4 linked regions of the Tribolium castaneum genome follow. The protein of the gene in region 2 binds, or shares a complex with, the protein of the main gene of each other region. Links are inferred from orthologs where the notes say so. Each region holds a gene or a part of one and is shown on either strand. Other genes may lie near its edges. The genes, in order: Orc5, Orc4, Orc2 and Orc3.

Evidence for each region.
Region 1: the proteins of Orc4 (region 2) and Orc5 are in contact, whole or in part, in a cryo-EM structure (PDB 7JPO), measured with the Homo sapiens proteins. The link is inferred for Tribolium castaneum from reciprocal best matches to the Homo sapiens genes ORC4 and ORC5. Residues at the interface, in NP_001177808.1 of Homo sapiens: Ser18, Gln21, Arg22, Arg25, Glu26, Cys29, Arg30, Gln31, Arg69, Thr74, Asn100, Leu102, Leu103, Gln104, Ile105, Ile109, Glu113, Arg116, Asp162, Arg277, Met281, Met284, Leu285, Asn288, Met311, Asp312, Ser313, Lys314, Asn316, Ile317; in NP_002544.1 of Homo sapiens: Ile17, Ser20, Leu21, Phe22, Gly23, Glu24, His26, His27, Phe28, Ser29, Phe30, Pro31, Tyr36, Gly37, His38, Thr39, Thr98, Phe99, Asn100, Val103, Arg104, Arg131, Glu134, Asn136, Pro139, Gly140, Arg143, Gln145, Glu146, Leu147.
Region 3: the proteins of Orc4 (region 2) and Orc2 are in contact, whole or in part, in a cryo-EM structure (PDB 7JPP), measured with the Homo sapiens proteins. The link is inferred for Tribolium castaneum from reciprocal best matches to the Homo sapiens genes ORC4 and ORC2. Residues at the interface, in NP_001177808.1 of Homo sapiens: Lys168, Asn169, Arg195, Glu200, Leu201, Lys204, Arg205; in NP_006181.1 of Homo sapiens: Asp501, Asp504, Tyr508, Ser512, Gln518, Glu522, Val554.
Region 4: the proteins of Orc4 (region 2) and Orc3 are in contact, whole or in part, in a cryo-EM structure (PDB 7JPO), measured with the Homo sapiens proteins. The link is inferred for Tribolium castaneum from reciprocal best matches to the Homo sapiens genes ORC4 and ORC3. Residues at the interface, in NP_001177808.1 of Homo sapiens: Pro370, Lys374, Glu377, Gln381, Ser392, Gly393, Asn394, Ser395, Gln396, Arg397; in NP_036513.2 of Homo sapiens: Thr227, His260, Arg261, Leu262, Leu263, Pro264, His265, Ala266, Ser269.

Annotation. Positions count from the first base shown.
Region 1 is NC_087395.1:24,006,817-24,010,810, forward strand, and holds the end of Orc5 (origin recognition complex subunit 5), read left to right. Parts: intron 1-612; coding exon of another isoform or gene 613-622; exon of another isoform or gene 623-1,308; intron 1,309-1,740; 5' UTR 1,741-1,770; coding exon 1,771-3,060; 3' UTR 3,061-3,087; downstream 3,088-3,994. Other genes in the region: uncharacterized protein LOC663028, read right to left, coding at 613-622. UniProt on the Homo sapiens protein: Component of the origin recognition complex (ORC) that binds origins of replication. DNA-binding is ATP-dependent. The specific DNA sequences that define origins of replication have not been identified yet.
Region 2 is NC_087396.1:11,890,650-11,894,441, forward strand, and holds Orc4 (origin recognition complex subunit 4), read left to right. Parts: upstream 1-1,815; 5' UTR 1,816-1,887; coding exon 1,888-2,079; intron 2,080-2,132; coding exon 2,133-2,472; intron 2,473-2,525; coding exon 2,526-2,824; intron 2,825-2,853; exon of another isoform or gene 2,854-2,875; coding exon 2,876-3,217; downstream 3,218-3,792. Other genes in the region: kxDL motif-containing protein CG10681, read left to right, coding at 391-536, 591-936; receptor-type tyrosine-protein phosphatase F-like, read right to left, coding at 3,379-3,453, 3,534-3,669, 3,728-3,792. UniProt on the Homo sapiens protein: Component of the origin recognition complex (ORC) that binds origins of replication. DNA-binding is ATP-dependent. The specific DNA sequences that define origins of replication have not been identified yet.
Region 3 is NC_087397.1:6,381,784-6,385,956, forward strand, and holds Orc2 (origin recognition complex subunit 2), read left to right. Parts: upstream 1-1,673; 5' UTR 1,674-1,824; coding exon 1,825-1,831; intron 1,832-1,887; coding exon 1,888-2,073; intron 2,074-2,120; coding exon 2,121-2,999; intron 3,000-3,047; coding exon 3,048-3,281; intron 3,282-3,326; coding exon 3,327-3,526; 3' UTR 3,527-3,555; downstream 3,556-4,173. Other genes in the region: uncharacterized protein LOC655336, read left to right, coding at 1-58, 116-318, 690-1,222. UniProt on the Homo sapiens protein: Component of the origin recognition complex (ORC) that binds origins of replication. DNA-binding is ATP-dependent. The specific DNA sequences that define origins of replication have not been identified yet.
Region 4 is NC_087398.1:1,395,255-1,400,075, reverse strand, and holds Orc3 (origin recognition complex subunit 3), read right to left. Parts: upstream 3,238-4,821; 5' UTR 3,089-3,237; coding exon 3,062-3,088; intron 2,879-3,061; coding exon 2,735-2,878; intron 2,683-2,734; coding exon 2,404-2,682; intron 2,355-2,403; coding exon 1,869-2,354; intron 1,820-1,868; coding exon 1,508-1,819; intron 1,461-1,507; coding exon 1,170-1,460; intron 1,124-1,169; coding exon 893-1,123; intron 833-892; coding exon 648-832; intron 587-647; coding exon 484-586; 3' UTR 438-483; downstream 1-437. UniProt on the Homo sapiens protein: Component of the origin recognition complex (ORC) that binds origins of replication. DNA-binding is ATP-dependent. The specific DNA sequences that define origins of replication have not been identified yet.

The sequences.
Region 1 (3,994 bases), on a different chromosome or scaffold from region 2:
AAATTAAATTTCGGCAAATATTTTCGTTTTATAACGGTTTAATTTTTAAGTTAGTTGAAACCCAAATAAAATAAAGAGCTTGAGCTCAAAATTGGAAGAATTCCAAATTTTTGTGCGCTGTAGCAACAAAACCGAATTTTTTGCTGAAAGCTAATCTATTTTTCAGACCAAACTCCAACTACATAACAGAATTATCAGCAATTTGGGAAGATTTCATTATATTGTTACAAATGGTTCAGTTACTTTGCAAATTCGGAGGTAATTATAACCGTTAATAAAAAAGTAACCGAATTAAGTTCGCATTACGAGCAATTTTTTCCGTAAATTTCCGAAATTTCATGGTCCAAACATCACAAGCCACTTATCCTAATGCATTTAGTCGTTTATTGCCCCACCGTGCGTCTCCTATCAATAGATCTGTGACAAGCCGATTTTTTATGTGTCCATAAAGCAACCTCCCCCAAGTCTATAACTCTTTATAACGTCAAAGAAGGGCCAGTTTCTCTTCAGCGTCGTTTATATATCTCGTCCTTAATCCAGTCGAGATCACATTAAATATTTGTCGTCGGCGGCGGTAAGCAAAGCAAAGAATGGAAGGGAAAAATCGCTCACCCTTTTCCATCGTCACTCAATCGCGCCGTAATGTCATTTCTTTATTTATCTTGGAGCAAGAAATCACATCGCGTCGCGGCGGCAGCGTCGCGGTGCGTCTTCCCAACGTCCTTTTTTTGGTCGGTGTGTGGCGTGGCAGTGGTGCTTTTACGAACACAAGTCGCGGCGGCAGATGATCGTCTTCGCGAGCACGAATCTCGACTGCAGGAGGCTCGAGGTCACAACCGCTTCCACCAGGAGTCTGCAAGCGGGTCGCAAATCGATGAGGGCGGACTACGCAAGCTCCACTGTCACTGGCGCCCCGCACACACCATTTTTTAGACACTATCGCCCCGCAATCGGACATTAGACGCACTTACTTCGACGATAATTACCCAAAGAAGAAGTTTTGACGAAATGAAGGCGACGAGAATGGCGACTTGCACAACGGGGCTTTCGCGTGTAAATCAAGAGATAATCGAAGAAAGTCGATGGGAAGGAGATGGTATTCCGGGCACGCTTCCCATCGTCCGGAATTGATGGCGACGTGAGCTTTTGTTGGGCGGGCGAAAGGCTACGATACACTTTTTCCTCGGTCGGATTAGTAATTTGATGCGGATATTGCATTCGTGTGTTTGGTATCGATTCTTTGGAGGAGAAATGTTTCGGAATGGGATTGTTTTGCCGGACGGCTACTGACGTAGATTTAATAAATCATTTTTTCGATTAATTGGAGGAAAAATTGGACAAAGTCTACAGAGCACTCGAACTGAGAAATGCGATGTTCTTGCCAAATTTAAATTATTTATTTAAATGCAACCAAAATGTTATTCCAGAAACGTATGGCTCGCAGCAAGACAAGAAAAGTCGTGGTTTTGTCTTGAAATTAGTACCAAGACCGAAATTATTAGTGTGAAATATTCAAGAACTTTGGTCCAAAAAAAGCTTATGAATTTTTCAAGATTAACCACCCCCCTCTTTGTCACCAAGACGATTTTTGCTGACGTTTTTCAAAATTAATAATGAACCGGAACATCAATTGTTATTAAAATGTCCACGGATGATTTTTCTACTGGAGCCAAGTTAAGAGTGTTTGACAGTAGATTAGATGAAATATGTTTTTGGTTTGGCATTATGACATTTGAGCAGAGGATTTGTTCTGGTTGCAGGTTAATAGCGATGATGTCCACACTATCTCGCCTGGAGTCGACTTTGCCCTGTCGCTCCTCCCAAATAGGCCAACTTTATAATCTCTTCGGGCACAACGAGGAGCCGTTTCCTGGCAGCGTTTACATTAGCGGAGGTCCGAGCGTCGGCAAATCCATTGTTGTTAGTCGAGTTTTGGAGGAAGTTGGTGTTAAGCATGCAGTTATCAATATGATCGAATGCTACACCAGTAAAATCCTGTACGAGACGATTTTGAGCAAGCTTTGTGGCTTAGTGGATACGAAATGCGAGAACATGATGGATTTCATTGATCATTTGCAGCGGAATCGGTCCGAAATACACCGATCTGTGCTAATTATCGACAAAGCCGACAAGCTCCGGACTATGGATTTCAACATATTTCCGGGATTTCTCAAACTCAAAGAGCTCACCGGAGGGATTCACATAAGCGTCATTTTCCTCTCACAAATCATCCTTCAGAAGTTCTATTCCAAAACTAACATCGTCGAGCCGATTCAAATCACCTTTCCTCAATACAACAAAGATGAATTACTGGAGATCCTCACGTTGGATATCGATTATGCCCGAAATCTGATTATCAATAATGCGAAAGGTGGAGGGTTTGAATTTGACGTCGACTTTTATCGAAATTACTTGAATGTTTTTCTTTCGGTTTTTTATCGAAACTGTCGGGACTTGACAGAACTTCGTTATATCGCCAGAAGTAACTTTCTCAACTACTGTCAACCGATCATCAGTAAAGAAAACACCATCAGCGATTCGCTGGCTTTGTGGAGAAAAGTCGCACCCACTCTCAAACAAGCCCTGCAGAATCTCTATCTGAGAGTCTCAACAGTCACTCTACCGCAGAGCCTCGAACTGCCCTTCTATGCCAAATATCTACTAATTGCTGCCTATCTAGCCAGCTATAATCCTGCAAAGGACGATAAGAGACTGTTCATGAAGTATCACGGAAAGAAAACGAAAACTTTGAGAGATGTTAAGAAGAAAAGTAAAGTGAGCGAACAGCTGAACACTGTCCTGGGACCCAAACCCTTCAGTTTTGATAGATTGCTGGCGATTTTTTATTCCATAGTTGAGGACAAAGTCGGTTTTAATAACAATCTATTGGTACAAGTGTCAAGTCTAGTGGAACTGCAATTGCTATCGAGCTTATCCGATAGTTCAAGCCTGGATGGAGCCAAATACAAATGTAACGTCAACTTTGATTTCATCCAAACAGTGTGCAAGATGGTGGGTTTCAACATTCGCAAATATTTGAGTGATTTCAGTCACATGTGAATGAGTTAATACATTTTTCTAATATAAGATTGATTTTTTCTTTATGCCCGTCCTTCGGAAGTTAAATCACTTAGCTCTATGATGCGCCTTGTTTTACGATTGGTCCGATTTTTACTATTGGTTATCGAGGCGAACGTTTATAGCTGGAAGTTACGAGGTAGGTAAGGAGTGTGGGTGTCTCGAGAGGATTGTCTTCTTTTTGCCAAAGGGGAAATCAGAGCTTGGCTCGGTAAACGCAGTAAAAGCATCGTCAATGGATATTCACGGAGTGTCTTAAAAAAATCGCGCAAGGGATGTAATAAGCTGCTAATGCGAGGTTACGACCGCGCGTATATCAAATTTGATGGTATTGACGGAGGAATTATGTCATTAGGCCGCGGCCTCGATGCAACGATCGATGCGTTTCATTGTGTGTAGGGCACAGCGGGTACAAACGTTGGGGGTAACGGGACGGAGCGGGATTGATGGGCCAGTCGGCGTTTGATGAATGATATTTTAACTGTTCATTGTCCATACTGAGGGGAATTCGCAATTTGCGGGTATTTTATTTCGGTTTATTTGGTTCGGGACGGCTGATGATTGGATAATAATTATTAATTGTTGGCAATTAAGGAAGTAAAGTTTGGTGAAATTATATTGACCTAGTGACGTGGTGAACAATATAATATGGTTTCGAGCGTTTCAGCTGTGACAGAGTTTTTCTTTATAAATTAGATGAATCAAACCAGCCGCATTTAGTTTATAATTACAAAATATTATTTTGCTTTTACATTGTCAAATTATGAAACGATTCGGTTGTGTCGGAGGCTTGGTCTGCCAAACGAGCTTGATAAAAATCACCATAATTCTCCATATTTAAAATTCTTCTTTAGTTTCCCTTAGATTCCATCCAGATTATTCTTTGGCATTGTGTCTGTTTTCTTCTCTAGATTTT
Region 2 (3,792 bases):
GTTTTAAGTTCGCAAGTTAACTATTACTTACTAATTTTTAATTGTAATAAAATTATTAAAATTTAAAGCTGTTAAAGTTTAAAAATTTTAAAAGCCTTTTTAACAAATTACAGAATAGGTCTCGTTCCCATTGTTTTTAAGAGGTAATTCTGAATAATTAAAATTTGTTTTTGGAGAATCAAAAATTTCTACAGTCAGGTCCTGTTTTTTAATGACGTCAGACTGAATACTCTCTCTCTCTTCTTTTGAAGTGAACGTCAAAACTTACTAACCTCAAATCAAATGTCAAAATGACAGTTTATTAAAAAACTACTAGAAAACTATTACAAAGTTCTATAATTATTATAAATTAATGAAACATGGTTTGAAGATTTTCGAAGCTAACGCAAAATGGATGACAGCAAGGGCACCCCCGAGAGTGATTTCAGTATTGAATGTTTTCAAAACTACACAGCCCCCGAGGTCTTTATCCAAGGCCTAGCTGGGATAGTTGATCAACAGGATGTCGAATCGATGATAAGAGCGCAAAAACAGATGTACAAAGTTTGTAATTATAATTTTGCAAGTCATTCATGATCGTTCCATTCAAGGTTACAAAGATTCGAAAAAACTAATGAGATGCTCACTAATTGCAATGCGTTAAGTGCGAACCGGTTAAAAACGATTGCACCCGAGTTCAAAAAACACACACAGCTGTTGTTAGAGATGAAAAAAGACTTGGACTATATTTTTAAGAAAATTCGTGCTATTAAAACTAAACTCTCAACGCAGTATCCCGAGGCGTTTGCCGAGGCTGTGAGGAGCAGTCTTGCTGAGGAGTGTGAAGAAGACGAGGATTTGAACGAGAGCAGTGCTCAGAACAAGAAGGACAATAGACGGAGTCTTCATTTGAAAAGGACTGAAAATGTTGAAGTCGAAAGGAGGGCTTCTCAATAAAATTTAGCTTATTACAAACTAATTTATTTAATTAAGAAGCATATTTTTGTGTAAATAATTGTGCTTTTTTCACAAATTCTGAATTCATGTTTCTGTACTCTTCTGCGATTTCGGCCATTAAAGGATCTTCTGGATTTGGAGTCTCCAAAAGCATTCTTATCGCTATCAGCAAACCTTCCAATCCTATTGTGGGCCTCCAACTGCCCTTAGGCGGCATTTTTATTAAATCTAAACAAATTCTCCCGTTGTCATCAATATTGGGATGATACATTTTCGTAATAAATTTGATTGAAGGTGGAATAAAGGGGTACTTCTCAGGGATTAAAATTTCCACTTTAAAAATTCCGTTTTTGTACGGGGTGTTATCGGGGCCAACAATTTGAGCTTCCAGTACATTTAGCTTATCGTCTTTGGGCGATACACTAATACCCACAGGGGGAGAGTTTGATATTTTCGCCAATTCACGAGATAAACGTTGGTGTTGCATTTTTAATTAACACAAAAAGACCAAGAACAATTTATAACCTCATTTCAACACACCACTTGTAAACCCAAAAAACAAAACTGGTAGTTGGAATATTATAAAGTAAAGCTTTCCTTATGCATTCCGACACGAGTTCTTAAGTGTTATCACATTTTTAATTTCAAAAAAATTGTTCACACATTTTTGGCGCTCAATCACAATGCAATTGAAAATTTATCACTCCGAATACTTACAAAACCGAATTCTAATTTTATTAACCGGTCAGCGTTTTGTATTAAAGATTTAGTAAAATATATAAGTGGCAGTAACAAGACACGTATGAAAATAAAGTATATGGTCAGTAAATGTAATAAAAGCAAATTCGGTTCTAAGCAAAATCGATCAAAATTAGCAGAAGTCAATGCGCGGGAAAAGATTTATGTTGGTCGCTCTGCGTGTTGACAACAAGTGTCAAAGTTGTTTTTAAAATGAAGAATTTAAGTGATAAAAACGTACTTAATCTACGTAAATTCCTCAAGAACAACATTTTAAACAACAGTGATTTCGTGGGTCATGAAGATGAGCGCCAACAAGTGTTTGATTTGTTACACAGGACCATCACTTCAGGAGAGTCAAATTCGGCGTTACTCATAGGCCCCCGTGCTTCCGGAAAAACAACAGTGAGTCTCTGAATAACCCTTTGAAACCACTTTATAGCATTGTTGTTAACTAGTTAGTTGACAATGTCTTGCGGGACTTGCAACCGTATTTTTCATCAGACGCAATACTGGTAAAATTGCATGGTCTAATCCACACAGACGATCGTATAGCTTTGAAAAGCATAACAGCGCAAATGAATCTAGAAAACGCCGTTGATGGCAAGGTTTTTGGGAGTTTTGCTGATAACTTAACGTTTCTGTTGGCGTGCTTAAAGTCAGGCGAGAGGGGCGTTTCAAAGAGCATTATTTTTATCATTGAAGAATTCGATTTGTTTTGTTCACATCACAACCAGACCTTGCTGTATAATCTGTTTGATGTGTCCCAGTCAGCACAAACACCAATTTGCGTTTTAGGTGCGTTATAACTATTTTTATTCCAGTTTGAAGTAATTTCCAAAATTTTGTAGGCATTACTTGTAGATTAGACGTGATAGAATTGTTGGAAAAACGTGTCAAGTCTAGGTTTTCCCACAGACAGATTTTCCTGTTTTTAGGAAATGATAATGAGAATCATTTAGATCAAAGACTGGCACGGTTACAAAAATATTTTTTGGTTCCAATTCAACAGTCATTAAACATTGTTCCATCGTTTAAAAAACAGTGGAATTCGAGTGTTCACACTTTACTTAAGGACAGGAATTTTAAATCTCTCATGCAACGACTTATAGATTTAGACTTGAGTGAGCGAAGTTTGAAAAATATTTTGGTAAGGATTGGACAAAGTAAAGACAATCACTTTAAAAACGATTTATTTTAGCTGCTTGTGGTGTCTGAACTTAACGATGTTAACAATAAATTAGCGTACGATACGTTTTTAAAACAAATAGAATTGTTCGAGAGAGATGAGACAGTTCAAGTGTTGCAAGACTTAAGCGTGCTTGAACTGTGTTTAATAATAACAATGAAACATCATTGTGAAATCTACGACAATCAGCCGATGAATTTTGAAATGGTCTTTAACAGATATCTAAAGTTTGCAAACGCTAATTCCAATATTCAAACCGTTGAAAGGCCTGTAATAATGAAAGCTTTTGAGCAAATAGAAGTGAGTAAAATATCGTTATTATTTCTTCTATCTACATCCAAAATCATTTTTTAGAATCTTGAGCTCATCTCTCCGTTAACCACCGGCAATTCTACGGTACAAAAGGAGTATCAACTGTTTAAGTTGCTAGTCCTTCCTCACCAAATAACAGAAGCTGTTAAAAAAATAACTGGGTTACCAACGGAAGTAACTCAGTATGCCAACAGTTCCTTAGTTTAGTTAAAATTGTGATAATTATCGAACTCCTCAACGTATAATTTTGCAGCTTTGTACAAAAACTCAACCTGGCCCTAAAATAAATTTTATTTTAATTAAAAATTGTTTTCATGCGGCACATAATACGAGAGTGTATTACGTGTTGCTGACCTACCCATTCCTGGACAAATTGCTCCCGACTTTGCCTCACGGCCCTAATAGCGGAGAAAACATCACATTCCTGCTCGTAATTAATTTTTTCGAGGAGAAAAGCAAGGGCGACAAACAGGCCACTAGCGGTGGCACCGTCGCTAAAAATTAAATTTTTCGAAAATATTTTTTTTTAATCGGACGATTATGTATGCTTACTAGCAAGTGACAACAATCTGACTAGTGCCCTTCCACGAGTTACTGAACATTTCCCTCCAGACCAT
Region 3 (4,173 bases), on a different chromosome or scaffold from region 2:
GGTCATTGTCTTCGGGAATGTCACTTCCTCAATGGATGAAAACAAAAATGAATGATAGGTAGGTCAACAGTTTGGGGTGAAATAATCAATTTTAATTGTGGTGTTTGGAATTCAGGCTAGATTTTGAACAGAGCGCTTTCTCACCGACTGAATTAGATGATAGTTTCATGTATTATTATCGCAGTAAAACACGAGGTTTTAATGACACACAAAATCAAACACTTGCGGCGAACTTGAAAGACAAAAATTGGACTGGGGCCCAGCCCGATTTTTCCAAACACACCCCCTATTGCCAGAAGTTTCTCCAGAACTCGATTGGTAAGTTATCTCAATTATCACTTATCACTGACGCAAATTTTCAAATGTTGACTGAATTTTTTATCGCACTATTTGCTTCAAAATCGCGATAAATGTTTTACGTAACGCTGTTTACTACGTCCCAACTCTTTGTGTTTTTAACCACACTTCATTGTTAATTTTGCACCACGTGTCCACAATAAATAATTCCAAGTGAATTCTTTGTTTTCCTTTCGTTAATATGTGGCCACCCGGTATTGAAACTTATCTAACGCAAACAAGTCTAAATCCAGTTCATTGTTGAATGGCCGTCCGCGCGCACCATGGAGCCCCTCCCCTTGACCGGTAACGCCATTCCCTTGGTGGTAACAGCCCCATATGGTCTTTTCCAGATAGTACCACGGCCCAACAGGTCCGCTTCCCCTCCGCCACCAAGACCAAGTCCAGTGGCGTGGACGACGGTTTCAAAGGCGAGGCCGCGAAATGCGGCACTTCTGTGGTGCGAGTGGCCCACCAGATGGTGTTAGGGAAAGCCATCCGTGGCTTTGACATCCAGAAAAAAGATTGTGATTTGCCCCCAGAGGGTTTCAACCCTTCGTTACGTCGAGGGAGCAAGTCGTTGCCCGCGTCGCCCCTGACGTCCCCCAACTCGTCCCCGAAAAGCACGCGACGCGTGAACAAATACTTCACGGGGCCTTTTGTCGACTCCGAACACCAGGGCAGTTGGATTTTGTCGAATTTGTTGGCCAAGAGGCAGAATTTGTCACAGAGTATGGGCTTTATCGCTGAAGAGGAGAAGGAGATGAAGAGGACAGAGTCGAATTTGAGTGTGGATGAGGTGTCGAATGGCAAGAGGAGTCAGGTGTTTGTACCCAAACCGTCAGAACTTAGGGAAATGAATTTTTGGTCTCCCACTTCCATGTGAAGTGGGCACATTTAATGTTGTCTAAGCAATATCTTTAATTTTTAGTTGGTTTCTTTTAGACATTGATTATTTTTGTAACTGTAATCATAATGCTCATTAAATTTATTTAAGTACACCAAAATCGTGTTTTAATGCCGCAAGATCGACCTCAAAGTCGCTAGTTATTTTAGAACACCCGTGGGTGGTATAAATAGAATTTGTTCTACGACTCGGGTTTTGGCGGGGTTACTTCCAAAAAACGTTTCCATGAGGTAATTAGGGGGCCACATGCTCGGAATAAAAAGCCAAAAAAAAAATATATAAATTCACACCAATATGATAACTTGACCGAGACTATCCAAATAATAGCAATTGTTAGTTGGTAAAGATTACTAGCATAGTAAATTATGCTGAAATTTCGTCCAAACGTTGCTTTTTACTCTACATACAGCTTTCCAAAAAATTTTAAAAATGACTAAATGTCAAGTGTATAATTGGTTGCATAGTCACTTTGTTTTAATTTTAAGTTTGGAGGGCGCCAAACGTTTTAATATCGAAATATTAGCAACAATTTGCACTAAACTTTAATTATAATTGCTGCTTAAGGTTACTAGTGGTCTGAAATGGCAGGTTTGTACCAATTTCTCTCTTATTTGACCTGAGAACCCACCTAACCTCAATTTTAGACGACTGTGCAGACCCTGAGTTATTTTCGCCCCGCAGGGGTTCCCGGCAACGCAATTTGAGTCTAAAAGCTAAAGAATACGTATCTACTTCCAGTAGGAGGAAACGTGGCTTTAAAAAACTGAATATTTCTACAGCAACTGAGTCTGAGGACGATTCCAATTGTGAGAGTAGTGAAAAACCAACAGGTGGACCATTTGCCTGTTGTATAACTTCCTTCATGAGTTTTTTGTAGTTTTGCACGATAATGACCATGTCCCTGGTGATAAATTATTCACGTTTCAAACGCGCAAAAAGTGCGAAGTCGTTCAACAAACGCCGCACGCTTTTAGGGACAAAATGAGGAAAAATATCGTGGCGAAAATTTTGGAAGAGAATGGTTCGAGCGGAGATGATTTTTCAGCCAGTGAGAGTGAATTCGAAGTGTCTGAGGAAAATTCAGAGGAGTCTTCCAGCAGTGACGACACACCGCCTCCCCCGCAAAACAAAAATATTAAACCCACTTTAGGAGCGAGAAAAGTCAATTACACTATAAAAACAGACGATTATTTCGCACAACACGCCAGTAAAAAAACTCTAACGTCCAATCACACTTTAGATAAGTTGGAGACACCAAGACTGCCGCAAGACCAACTGCATAAACTTTTGTCGAGAGTTAGCCTAGGGTGTGAGCATGAAAAAGCCACGAAAAAATTAATCGAGACGAATTGCGCCTATTTTGATAAGTGGATGTATTTGATGCATGAAAATTTCAATATTTTGTTGTATGGGTTGGGCTCAAAGAAGGGCGTTTTGAATGCTTTTCACGAAAAGTGTTTGAAGAAGTTGCCAACGGTTGTCGTGAACGGATTTTTCCCTTCATTATCAATTAAAGATGTCCTTGACGGGATTATTTTAAATTTACTAGAACTGAAGGAAAATCCCTCAAATATTTACGAGGCCTGCGACCTTATCGAGCGCGAATTTAGTTTTATTCCCGAAACTCATTTATACCTCATTGTGCACAACATCGACATGATGCGGAGTGGAAAAGCCCAAAGTGTCTTTGCAAGACTCGCGTCAGTCAATAACATTCATCTAATCGCGTCAATTGACCACATAAATGCCCCCCTAAGTAATGAAAAATTCTAGTAGTGCGCAAAAACTTTGATTGTTGTTTTAGTTTGGGACCATTCCAAAATAAGTAAATTCAATTTCACGTGGTGGGACGTTACCACTTTCCAACGCTATATTGACGAAACGTCCTTCGAAAGCTCAATGTTGGTCCAAAGGACCGGAAACCTGGCCTTATCATCGCTTCGGAACGTTTTCTTATCACTGACGAGCAACTCCAAAGGAATTTACTTAATCCTCGTCAAGTATCAAATCGAAAATGGCAAAAAACAATACTATCAAGGTGATTTATCAGTTTGTGCGTTCAAAACTGATTGATTTGTTGCAGGCCTGGCGTTTAAAGACTTGTACTCTTTGTGCCGCGAGGCATTTTTGGTGAGTTCGGACCTGGCATTGCGGGCCCAACTCACCGAATTCGTGGACCACAAAATGGTGAAGTTCAAGAGAGCGCCAGACGGGACTGAGTATTTGATAATCCCGATTGCAAACGCGTTATTACAGCAATTTTTAAATGAACATTCCGGTTGATTGTATTTTCCAATAAAAATTTAAGTTGGCGCTCGCGTTTGAATCACCTGCTGCCATCTTCGTGGAAGACAGTCGAACTAAAAAACAAGATGGTTTCGCAGTGCTGAATTTTATTTGAGTCAAAAAATCGAATTTTTCGCTTGGTTCAGACGATCATTGTTCGAATTGTACGCAAAAATGTTATTGTGTGTCGTTTCGATATGTCGCCGCCGTGAAGGCGCATGAATGCGTGGTGAATTCCTGGGTGAGTATCATATGTTTATTTTTGAAGGTTATCTTTTGTTGGTGCTTCCACTTTTCGGGTCGTTGGGACACGCGAGGGGGCCGAAATGGCCCCAATGTGGCTGCTCGTAACTGTGCCGAAAGCCGGCCGAGGCGGTGTGAGAATGACCGGAAATTGTGGCAATTTGTAAATAAAAACAAACAATCCGTTTTATCTCTCGGTGTGAACTTTCCAAGGTTAAACCGTCTGCGTGCACGGGGGTGGCAGCCAGTGCGAGGCTTTAGCCCCCCGCGTTATTAATTGACTCCGTTTTGCTCCGGACAGACATTGTTAAGTAATTCAACAAATCCGGGTCAGGCCAAGGGCTACATTAATTCAATATATTGACACACTATCCTTACCTGCTTTTCTTCAAAGAATATCA
Region 4 (4,821 bases), on a different chromosome or scaffold from region 2:
ATGTAGTTTACTTATCAAAGACGAATTTTGTAATATATTTTTGTTAAGAGAGCGATTATTTAATACTTATTCTTATACACACTGTACAAATTTCTAGATTAAGACATTTAGGGGCCACTTTACTCAGTCACATGTCCTAAGACGCAATCATTTTTTTGTCATATGTAAATTGAAACAAATGTTTTCAATGCAACGAATCTAAAATATTTGTACGACTGTGTTTACATTTTTTTAATAAAGACACCTACATTCCATCAACCTATTAACTGGTTTCATTCAACCCATTTCCCGCAGTTCTGGACGTATTGCACAAAAACTATATCTGAAAAAATTAAAAAAACAAGCTATGATTTTTTTTCTGTACTTTTAACAACTTCAGAGGGTTGTAAAGGCATAAAAGAGTCCATTAAACAGTGGGTTTAAATTATTGGCGAAAGTATTGGTAGAAAAATTTAATAAATATAAAGACATTGGTAGAAAAAATTAGCCACCCCAAGTGAGTCTGGCCACATGGTCAGTCTTCCTTTTGGAGCTCTTGATGAATCCCAAATACTCCAGTTCGGCTACAGCCTGCGTAAATCGGGCCCTAAATGTGCGTTAAGTCAAATTTTATTAAAAAAAATAAAATAAAAACAAAAAAAGGATACTGCAACTGAGGACTGACTTTCGGGTTGTCTTCAGTCTCCTGTGGGTCAACAATACTAAGGAAAGACTGGAGCCAGTCGTACAAATTAATCATTTTCCCACACTCTAAGTGGAGTTTGTAGACGATACTGATGTCAGGCATTGAGGGAAGGATCACAGAATCGGTGGCAATTTCGCAGCAAGGACACTAAAACAATACAGTATTTTCCCCTTCGTGTTAACACAAGTATTGTAAAAAAATAATTACCTGTAAATAAACGTGGGGGTCATTGAGCGCTGTGTGAATAGCCGCCCTGTGAGAGCCTATGATGTGAGTCTGGACTGAAATGTCGTTAAAGAAGAAAATTTCGTGAAAGTGAAAATCGGTCGGTTCCTGTAAATATATTTCGAACTGTTCGGACAAAAAATTGAGTAAGCCTGAGCGGATTTTCTCGTATTTGTTCATCGGTTTGTTTTGCTTCGACATTTGGAGCAATTTCTGGAAGAAAAAACTAGACACGTAATAAAAAATCACCGGAAAAAACCTCTCTGAGTTGTAATCTCCCCATTAGTTCACTTATGCCCTCTTGGGCCACCTCATTTTCGTCTTCTTCCTGATCAAGATTGTGTAAATTATCCAAAAAACGGTTAAGCCTATCGGTTATCACACGCCCCACTTCCAAACCCTCACTGTTATTAACAATTAAATCCGTGATTCTTTTCACTTTGTTACACAATTCGTCCCTCGATTGAAACGCCAGTAGTTGGAAACACTCTTTATATTCCTGACTTTTGGTAATATTTCGTGAAACGGCACACGCGTACAGTTCACGAACCTTCAAAACCTAGTTAATTTGACGATTGCAATGAAAATACTTGACACCTGTTTCCCCAAAGGCGCTTTGGGTAAATCCCCCACAAGAACGTGCAAGCACCTCAAAAACAAGTGCAAATTCGGCAAATACGCCACAATTTTGCGCACTTCCCGCAGCAAAACATTTCTGAAATAATTATCATCAGTCAGGAGCGCGATTCGGGCTTCCGGGGATTCACTCTCGACCAGTTTTCGGAACGACATCAACCGACGAGCATTTTCGAGATCATCGTGCGAGAAATCGGAGATAATTTGCTTGATGTGTTTCCTCTGACAGAGGGCCATAACATTGCCGTAACAAAAATGCTCAAGCATGGCGTACTAAAACCAAAATTTCACGAAAAAGTGACACAATTTTCGGCGCAATCACCTTAAAGTTCTGGATAAAACCGCTGACTGAAAGATCGTAAAATAGGAAAATGTCGGTGAATAAATTAAAAACCTTGCCGCCTAAGTGAAAGGGGCACTGGCGCGAAAATAAAATATTCTCCAATATGTTGTTCAAATAAACCGTGGAGGGAGTTGAGTGAAAAACCTGGATGTTAATGCGCGAGGAAACGTAACAAGGGAGTGACCGATGAACGGCGTTAAGGGACGTCGCAACTCCAAAAACAAAGACAAAGGGTAAAACGTTTAGATACGAGCTCGCGATTTGGATAAAATCTTGCAACACTTTCGGGGCAAAATTCTCAAAATCGGGGATTATAACAACGATTATGTTTTTATTGTGTTTGGTTTTTTGCTTTTTTGGCGAGTTGGCGGTTCCTGGAGGTTGGTAGAGTTCCTCATACCAGGCCTGGAGAAGTGTGAAACTGCACTGTGATTTTTTAATCTGGCGCGTGTCTGAGTCAGAATCCTTCGGAAATCATTGCATCATTGAAACGAAACGCCTTTTACTTTCTTACCTCATCTATAAGTTGTTCGCTTTTGACTAATTGATTGACCATTATTTCAACGAGATATTTCAAACTGTGGCAATCCTCGCCACTGAGAGTAACAACGTGTGGTGTTATTGAGCGTTTGATTTCTTTTTTGAGCGTTTTGAATTGGACTGAATGGTCGGGCATGTTTATGCCAGTGAGTAAAGCTGCGGCTGGGATTTCACTCACTGTGTCTTTGTAACAGTTTTTGAGAAAATTTACTAAACTACAAAGGATATTGGAAAACATGGCGTTATTTAATTCCTAAAATAAATCAAATAAAAAATACTTAGCGCACGAAAGTGAGGATTAGTACTTGAATTTGGGTTTCGATTGATTCCCACAAAGACTTGTAAGTTTTATACCACAAGCTATCACAGTAGAGACTCTGGGTACGTTTGTCTTTCGTTCTGGATTTTTTTGAAGCTGCTTTAGCCCCATTTTTGAAGACAAAAACACCCTGAAATTGGCGCCAAATTGTGAACAATCATTAAATGCAATCTCAGTACGACTGAATCTTGATTTTGCAATAAACTAGTGTTAAGTACGCATATCAGAGGCGGAAAACGTTGATAAAAGAGTGTTACAAAGGAAAAATAGCGCAATTTTAACACAAGTTTTCAGGTTAGGTTTCGAATATTACCTTTGAAACGGACACGGTCGCAGCCATTTCAATAAACAATATTCACGTAACTCTATTGCGTAAAACTAAATAAATTTTTTAGATTAAAATTGTTCAGTAATCACAAATAAGTTACAATTGTTACAACAAACAACAATTTGAAAAATGACATTTGACATTACGAGCCATTTTGAAGCTGGTGGCGCTTTTTATGAAAAGTTTCCAAAACCATAAAAGTAAAAAATACAAATTTTGATTAAAAATATTACTGTGCTGTGTCACACTAAATATATCCAATTATGGCTGTGCTAAATTAATTTGTGTTAATCAAAAATTAAATAAAACTAAAAATATTATCACTGTATTGTTGGTTGCATGCTCAAAAGCTTTATTGTGGCGTGTAAAGAATTTGTAAATTGTAACATTGTAACTTGTATTTTTTATTTTTTTTCTGAAATAAATAATAACTGATTATAAGAATTTCAAAAAAAAACATTTTGAGGGAGAGGATAGCTAGTTACGGTATAGTTAAGAAAATCGCATCCATAAAAAAATAATTTAGCGCACGAGAGATCTTTCTTTATTAGGTGTATCAAGCAAAAAATAAATAATAAATAAATAAATAAAAATAATATATAAATAAAAAAATTATTACTAATTTAATGCACTCCTAAAGCAGGAAAGTGTACTTCCGTCAGAGTTAAGTACAGTGGAACTCCCAACATTTTATTTAAATTTCAGTAAACTTTGTAATCTGACACAGACCTTTCCATAATCTAACGTTCTATTTATTATACGTAGTAGCATTGAACTTCCTCACTCCATATATTCAGCTTACGATTATGTTCATCTGCTAAAATAGCATCTTGCAAGCTTGGCTACCTATTAACCTATTAATCTGTAGCCAGACGTTATTAGAACAAGAGCAAAAATCAAGGCAACACTAAACACCTAACTCTAGTTATGAGTTATGACTATGAGATGTTAAATAATTAAACAACGCAAGAATAAAAAATATTACTAGTGCTTTGAAGCGTTTCCATTTTAGATTTTATCGAAAAAAACCCACCGAAAAGAGTTTTTAAATTAATGTCAAGGTATACTTTACATACCCATGGTTACTTACTTAATTATGTAAATACTTAATTTGAGGTGGTTCACGTTTTACGGTATTGGCCATCTGCAGAGTGCATTTTGTAAGCACAGCAGGTATAAGGTTTTAAAATTGCTCTGAAACATGATGTGTCATCGTATTACTCTGCAGGTGAAGTGTATAACTTTGCGATGTTTGACTGATAAAGAAATAATTGCACGGTTTCTTGAAACATAAAACAAAAGCAACAATCACGTGTGGAAAAACAGAGGCTTAACTCCCTAAAAATTGTATCAAATTGTTTATTTTTTGCCATAATGTTCCAAGAATAAACAAACCAATGTTTTGTTTATTCTTGAAGAAACTCGTTTATCCAAATAAGGCAAACAGAGTGATATGTTGACTCGACACCTCCGTATACTGCCAATTCATAAATCAAAAACAGTTATACTGTAGCTGTAACTGTCGCCAGATTTTTCTAATTTGGATTATAATAGTATTTGTGTGGAAGGCACCGCGATACTGAGTGGGTCATTTGGGCCAAAAATGTGTCAGTTGTATTAAAATTTTGAATAATGATAAACGGTCTATAAAATATAAAAAAACCCACGCCAAAATTTGTGACATGTTTTAAAACAGACAAAAATACACTACTTCGTATTTTATTAACTCGTTGCATAATTAACAA